Nothobranchius furzeri: one gene and its partner. The protein of the gene in region 2 interacts with the protein of the main gene of each other region in a pairwise test. Links are inferred from orthologs where the notes say so. Each region holds a gene or a part of one and is shown on either strand. Other genes may lie near its edges. The genes, in order: znf346 and tarbp2.

Region 1 (3,903 bases), on a different chromosome or scaffold from region 2:
TGTTCCTGTCCTTGAAGTTGGAGGATAGCCTGTAGTGGTGGCAGAAAAGAGGGTTTAGTAGTGCACTGATGGCTCAGAAGAAGCCTCTTACCTCCTAATGAGCTTGGTCTTTTAATGGGCAAGCTTGGGCTTGGTGTCCCTCTTTGCCACAATAAAAACAGAGGTCATCCTTTGACCTCCTCACGTTCCTTCTCTGACAGCCTGCTCCAGCCAATCTGCATTGGCTCAGATCCCTCTGGGATTGGTGGGGAGATTGGGGCAGCAGGAAATGAAGATGTTAATGGTCTGTACCCACCGTCTCTGCGGGGTAGTGAAAATGTCTTTAACCATTCACTCCTCCTTTCATGGAGCCGTAACTCCTAGTTCTTCCAGGCTTTCGGGGACATCCCTAGAGGAGAGTTCATCCTTAATCTCCTCGCTCAGACCTTGATAAAAGACGTCACACAAAGCATCATCATTCCAGTTACTGTCAGCAGCACATGTATGAAAATCAATGATGTACTCTGCCACTCGTCTCCGGCCTTTGTTTTAATTTCAAAAGACCCCTTGCTGCCTCACACCCAGGAAGGACAGGACCAAAAACCCAAGCCGTCTGAATCCTGGCTATTTTTATAAAACACCACCTGTTCGTATGAGTAACAGATGTCAGAGTCCCTTTGCAATTCTGGAGTGCCCCATAATTTAGCTTTGCCGGAGGGGAGTGAAATGACCACGTAGGGTCGCGGGGGGCACGACATGGACAAAAATCATAAATCCTTCTTGGTTCTGAGTTTGATCTTGTACTGTAAAATGCAGCATTACTTTGTTTAGAATCAGTTTCAGTTGCACTTTCTGCTTGTTTGAGCAAATAAATTAAGCTTTAAGAAGATTTATTACTAGAATGTATTTATTATCATTGTCATTAAATTGAAGTTGGACAGATGACTTGATTATGACTTGAAAATTCTAAGTTAAGGACTTGGACTTGACTTGGACTTCCACAACATTGACTTTGGACTCAACTTGGACTTGGTTGTTTTTGACTTGACTCGAGACTTGACTGATTGACTGATTGATCGATTGATTGATTGAAACATTTATTTGGGGCAGCAGTAGCTCAGGTGGTAGAGCGGGTTGCCTCATGATCGGAGGGTCATGGGTTTGATTCCAGCTCCCGCCAGGGGTATCCTGCTGTTGTGTCCTTGGGCAAGACACTTCACTCAACTTGCCTGTGTTGGTGGTGGTCAGAGGGGCCGACGGCACCAAATGGCAGCTTCGCCTCTGTCAGACCGCCCCAGGGCAGCTGTGGCTACAAGTAGCTTACTATCACTAGCAGTGTGTGAATGTGAGTGTGTGAAAGCGTCTTGAAAAGCGCTATATAAGTTCAATGCATTATTATTATCATTATTTGAACATAAAACAAAATATTTTTTAAATCAATGAACAGAGACAGATGACTTGATTATGACTTGAAATTTCTGGAAATGACTGGAAAGACTTGTGACTTACTCGTGACTTGCAAAGCAGTGACTTGGTCACACCTCTGATTTTAGTTTTGTGCATCCTTTCTGGAAACCGGGAATCGGAAACAAGAGTTTCGAATCCAAAACACTTCCATCTGGGAGCTGATCAGCTGCGCATGCGCACTCGAACACCACTAGTGTGCGTTGAAATCATGGCGGATGCGATGCAAACCGATGATTTTCCATACTTACCTACAGGGCTGGCTGAGGGTAGGACTTCTGCCTTACTCATTTCATATAAATGTTAACATAGAATCACGTCAGTGCATCAAAGCAGCAGTCTTGGAGTTTGTGGCGTTAAAAGCCAGCGTTGTTGTTAGCTTCGCCTGAGCTAAATTTAGCCGGTTTGCTAAAATGTGCTAAGCTAACCTAGCGATAGCCGCTTTTGCTCCAAGGTCGAGGAGAGCAGTTCTTCATCCGATGTTTTTACTGACTCCTTCTGATTCCTGCTCTCTTGCTTTGTGACTTAATAGAGTCTGGAAGAAGCACAATTAGATTGTGGTCAGTTTATAGCTTGTGTTCTGTCGTTGGACGGCGGTGTTTTTCTGTTATTTTGGTGTGCGTAAAATCAGCTTCTCAGACGAGACAGACATGTCACGCTTGATCTTCTCTGAGGATGGATTGCAACTAAACTTTGCATGAAGTACATCAAACATTTGAATCTTAAACTATTCTTATTAACACCTCTAGCAGCGTTCGAGACTTACATTTTGTGCACATCTGCATCTCAACCTGTAGAAGCAGGGGCTCTTTATTTTATTAGAGATCATTCTGCAGGACAAAAGTCTCACGCTCTTACAAACCCTTAGCCAAGCCGTCTGAATCCTGGCTATTTTTATAAAACACCACCTGTTTTCTGTGTCACACCTTGGACTTGATGCATCAAGGTGAAGAAATATTCTCGCATTAAATGATCCAAGAGTTGTGACTCACAGATGGGCCTAAAAATGTGCTTCTGTGTTTTGGCAAGTGTTTGCATTGCAAATGTCTGCAAAAGCATCCAGGAGGCTTTTGGTCCTGCTGATGAAACTGGTTCTCCAGGGTGATTTTAATTAAAGTGGTTTTAAGACCATACATTTGTAAGATGCAGTGTTTTCTTAGATAGCTCTTAAACCATTTGTTATAAGGATATTTCCCCCCAGAAGATGCAATCTGTTGTTTTCTCCTTTTCTCTTTCTGCAGTAAATAAGATGATAAAAGAGCATGGTGACCTGTTTTCTGACTCCAAGTGCAATGTCTGCAATGCTGCCCTAATTTCTGAATCTCAGAAGTTGACTCATTATCAGGTCAGTTCGCTGAATTCCCTGATGCAGTCCTACTCTCAAGGGGCCGCGCTCACGTTCGAGGGTGCCGTAAAGACGTGCATCAGTCTAGTTTATGGGTCGTGAAGACATTTTTGACAAGACAAATTAAAATTTATCCAGATTATGAGATTATTTGTCCATTTTTGTGGATGTTTGTTCTTATCAAAGATTTTCTTTTCCCACTTTCAGAGCAAGAAACATGCCAACAAGGTGCGGCGTTACATTTCCCTTCAGAATGAGAAAGAGGACAGTGGCAGTCCAACTAAGAAGCAAAAGACATCTGACAATGTGAGTTAAATTGAAACATTCAATAGACGTTAAGGGTGGGCATTTTCATAGAAGAAGAAGAAATTATCTTTTATATCTCAAGATAAAAATCACGAGGCGCTTCACAAGAAGAAAAAAAATAAAATAAAAAATTATTGAAAGTATCATAAAATGGGATAGGTGATAATGTAGTAATATTTTTTTTTACTCAGGACTGTATATTGCTAAATTGAAGTACTGTGGTTTCACATCATGATTCATTCGGTGGCAGAAATACATGTTTCATCTGTTTCCGTTTTAGTAAATTAGTTATTTTATGGTTTATCAAAGAGAAAATTTACATTTCTTTTAGATTTGAAGCACCCATCCTGCCAGAATTTAGAGTAAATGAATGAGAGGAAAAAAATTAAAATAAGTATTTAAAGACCTTGCTCTCTTTTTTTTCTTTTGGAGGTAGGGCTGGGCAATAAATCAAAAATTTATCGTTATTGAAATTTCTGACTCGTTGTCACTCTTTGCACTCATGAAACATCTTGTCAAGTTACTTTTTTTCCCCAGAACTTTATTGAACAAAGGAAAGTTAGTTGTTATTGTGTAAAGAAGATGCTTTTTACTGGCGCACAATGTACTAATCTAGGTGCTGTGAAGGAAAACAGAAACCAGCAAAAACACAAAGGCAGAAACGATCCAAAGTTGGGGATCAAAAGTGTAACTACGGGCAGATTTGCTAATGCTATCAGGTAGCAGGCTCACGATCAAGTGGGTTCCAAAAAAACACAATGGTCTTGAAACTAAGAATATCTAAACTCTACAAGCGAAAGAAACGTCCC
Region 2 (3,917 bases):
GACGTCATGTATATATTTTAAACTTCATATGTAAGAAAACAGCTAATTATATGAAGGATAAATGGGCTAAAAACAATTTTTTTTCCTAAAACAATCTGTCACAAGTACACAAAATATCAAGGGAGTGGGTTTGAGTTTTAGGCTGTGAGATTTTCACCAGCTGGACAACAAATGAACTAGAGATAAACTTGTGTTTAGCTTCAAGGCAGGATAAAAATGTCTCTTAACCAATCTGAGGTCAAAAAGCCTCTACTGTACAACAAGGAGGTGTACATTGGCATCGCGTGGTGGCGAGTTCGGGTCTGCGGACAAAAAACGCGCCCAGGTGTCTCATTTTCCTCCTGCCATGATTTTAAGGTACTGCAGTGCATTGTGAGCCGCGTGGGCTCGAGCAGCTTCTACGTTCGGAGCAAAGCCATGACACACAGTGATGGGTTGTGTGGACAGCTCCACCAGACACTGACAGCGGCCGCTGAGGCTGCGCTCCTCTGAAAAACAAACAAGCATGGATGTGAAGAAAAAAAACGAGGAGTTTCTAACCGCTTTACGGTGCTCCTGTTGTGCTGTTGAGCGTGAGCTCACCGAGGTCGAGGTAACTGACATCAAAGCGCTGCTCCACGGACAGGTCGCTCAGCAACGAGCAGAAGTTGGAGCCAGCTGGCATTCCCAGAGGGTGGCTGCGGAGCTGCAGGATCTTCTCTCCAGCAGAGTTACGCAGAGAATCCCAGGTGCAGCTGAAACTTTTGCTTTTACCCGACTCCGCTCTGCTGCCCATGTGCTGCGTAAATGGGATGATTTTATACACGTTTTACACAGACACAGTAGAGCCAAGCAGAGAAGCTTCATCACCATAACATGGGCACAGTTTGTGATATTTTGAGAATTGCACAAGAAATTTAAGCGCAAGCATATAAATCACTGCTGTGGTGTTTAGCTCTCACCAAATTGAAGGTATCTTCTTCTGCATCTGCCTCGTTGCTGCTCCTCAGGTCCACTGGAACGTCGTGGATCCGTGAGAGCATCTTAGCGGCTGCATTCCTCTTGGCTAACTTCTTAGATGTGCCACTTCCTGGACAGGAAAAAGGAAATCACTCCTTCACTTGGCATAAAAGCAGATTTTGACAAATCCAATTGAGCGTGAAAGCACAACATGCAGATATCAAACAAGAATGAGAGAAGATTTACCAATTTCTACAAATCTCTCCACTCTGCAGGTCATGGTAAACTCTTTTCGATGTGCTGGACCCGACTCCTGAGTGACCGTGTACTCTGGCAAACGCCATCCTTTCTGCACCACCAACTCCTGAAGTAAATCAAAACAGAAAAAAAAAGGAAGGAAACTATAGAAATATTCTAACAGAAACCAGTGTTGTGGATTACCAGGATAAAATAAAGTCTCTATGGCGTAGTTACCTGCAGCGCCCCAACGGGGTTACATTCCGACTGTTGAGAACTGCTGGAAGTCTTCATCTCTGACTGAGAGCTGCATAAAACATGAGAGGACAGACTAAATCCACACAAATCTCTCTCTTCCATCAACTCAATGTTGAAACATCGTCTGGATCCAATCAAGACAAGCCATTAAGCATCACTTAAGCATCGCTAGGTTCTTTTCTACATTTTAAAATGAAGTAGGGTCCTGACCAGTCTCCGTCAATAGACACATCAACCTCGATAAACACGTCTTCTCCGACAGCGACTCCAGCTGGATCTCCGAGGCTTCCTTTGAGCATCTTCAGAGCAGCCTCAGCTGCTTTGTGCTTAGCTGCCTTCTTGCTGGGCCCTTGGCCGGTGCAGCTGATCTCTCCGACGGAGACGCGGAATGTGAAGTTGGGCTGGTGGGCCTGTCCCTCCGCCTTCAGCAGGTCGTACACTGGGGTTTTGCCTATCCGCGTTCCATACTCCTGCAGCAGACTGATGGGCGTCTTTCCAGGATTCACAGCCAGCATTTGCTCAATACTATTTAAAAGATAGAAAGCATAAGCAGCTGTTCACTTATTTTGTTATCATCTTTACTGAGATCAAAACACAACAATGTGGCTAGTTTATTGCTGCTAAAATCTAAAGGGCATACGCTACAATGTTCAGTGGAAAAACTACACTTGTCTATATTTTAGTTTCACGAAATGCAACAAGAAATAGGAAAAGTGTGCCATCTTTAAGGCTCAATCTGTGAAATATGTTTCCAAGAAAAAAAATACTATTATTTGCCAAATGAATACTGACCCAAATAATAAGTGTGGTGTTTTGAGGTGAGATTCTTCACAGTGTACAAAGGAAATGGGCACAAACCAATAAAACTCTATTATTTACATTATCAGAGTAAAAGAAGGCACTTTTATTCAATGATTTATTTGTGAGGCGGCAGCTACAGCCATCTGGAATGAAGATTTGAACCAGAAATGTTTGCAATCAGCTTATTTTATTACATATATTACAAATGGAATAAAGAGATTTGTGTAATTTATGCCGATCTTTACATTTAGGAAAACATTATATTAGTGTTTTTGACCACCTGTTGCCTTCCAGATTACAATAATCCCTCAAAAATCAACCTAGCAGTAAAAAGCCACCAGATAAAGAGTATTAACGATGAGTCAAACAGTTAAGCTGTAGAGATTAAAAGAATAACAGAAGATTAAACACTTAAAACAACATGCACGCGTTAGTTTCTGAGGCCTTTGACTCTGACATTTTATATTGTTTACATACAAATGGCTTTTATCAAGAAGACAATCCCACCTGGAGTCCCCGGAGTTTCTCTTCCAGCTATCCGAAGCTGTCTCGTCGTTCATTCCCCGTTTCGCGCAGACAGAACCGCTCGGTTTCGGATGTAAAATCCCCCCCGCCACAACAGACACGTACTCTCATTAGACGGTATTTATTGTTGTCCCAAAACGATGAGCTAAAGCTGCAACATGATGGATACCAGAAGACGAAACCACCTCTACAGCGACAACCTCGGTCACACGATTATGACGTAGATTGCGTCCTGGGCAGCGTAAGCCCCGATTGGCCCAAATGCCTTCTGTGCCTCAGAAGGTGGGAATGACACTCATCAAGCATTCATCCCTAAATATACTGATGGGTCGAAAGTGTCAGGAAATATAACGGGATTTTCTTTCTGGATTCCGACATTAAGTATATATTATAAAAGTCGAACATCTAATAATCTGTCAGTTTATACAGTGGAAATGTTAGCCATTTCATTTAGTTTACAGTGGATAGAACAAAATGGTGTTAGGAAAAGTATTATTTGCTCAGACTCCATGTCAGCATTGTTATCAATTAAAGAAATGTCAGCTGATAAGAGGTCAGATATTTTGTATGAAATATTTGAGTGCATGTTTAGGTTAGGTTATACAAAAGGTATAATGATTTCTTATTAATAAAACCTTGTTGCAGCACTAAAGCAGAAAAATGAGATTTTGCAAGAAATATGCTAAATATTTACATATGAATTGTTTTAGAGCCGTTTTATTGGCAGAATCTGATATTAATTTAGTTCTTACAAAAAAATGGGTCCCAACGTGGTTTGTGTGGCGTTGCCATAGTGTGACGTCATAGGCACAGATCCCCTGTCCTCTTGTTTGGAAATGGAAATATGATCACCCTACATTAAACAAACTGTCCACCCGGGCTTTTGCGCTGCACAGAGATGCTTCGCTGCCTATGACTTTGAACGCCAGTTGAGAGTCAGTCTCATTCAGACTGACCAATGAAGAGAGGGCCTCAAGTTTAGACCCTCTCCTCATTGGTCATTCCACACGAGGTGGGTCAAAGGTTACCCTGAGCGGGTTACATGATGTCAGGCATTCAAGTATTGAGTATATTTACTGCATATTACAGTAAAATATTCTGTATGTGACCATATTATGGTGATCCTTGGGTCGTGATGATGGGGACCTTTAATATTG

What was found.
Region 1: the proteins of tarbp2 (region 2) and znf346 interact in binary tests that used the Homo sapiens proteins (3 or more experiments, as listed by UniProt). The two-hybrid records come from large-scale screens. The link is inferred for Nothobranchius furzeri from reciprocal best matches to the Homo sapiens genes TARBP2 and ZNF346.

Annotation. Positions count from the first base shown.
Region 1 is NC_091750.1:54,172,830-54,176,732, reverse strand, and holds the start of znf346 (zinc finger protein 346), read left to right. Parts: upstream 1-1,094; 5' UTR 1,095-1,618; coding exon 1,619-1,712; intron 1,713-2,684; coding exon 2,685-2,788; intron 2,789-2,995; coding exon 2,996-3,094; intron 3,095-3,903.
Region 2 is NC_091743.1:62,020,246-62,024,162, reverse strand, and holds tarbp2 (RISC-loading complex subunit tarbp2), read right to left. Parts: upstream 2,939-3,917; 5' UTR 2,796-2,938; coding exon 2,743-2,795; intron 1,960-2,742; coding exon 1,645-1,959; intron 1,484-1,644; coding exon 1,414-1,483; intron 1,304-1,413; coding exon 1,186-1,303; intron 1,070-1,185; coding exon 942-1,069; intron 779-941; coding exon 583-778; intron 489-582; coding exon 331-488; 3' UTR 113-330; downstream 1-112. UniProt on the Homo sapiens protein: Required for formation of the RNA induced silencing complex (RISC). Component of the RISC loading complex (RLC), also known as the micro-RNA (miRNA) loading complex (miRLC), which is composed of DICER1, AGO2 and TARBP2.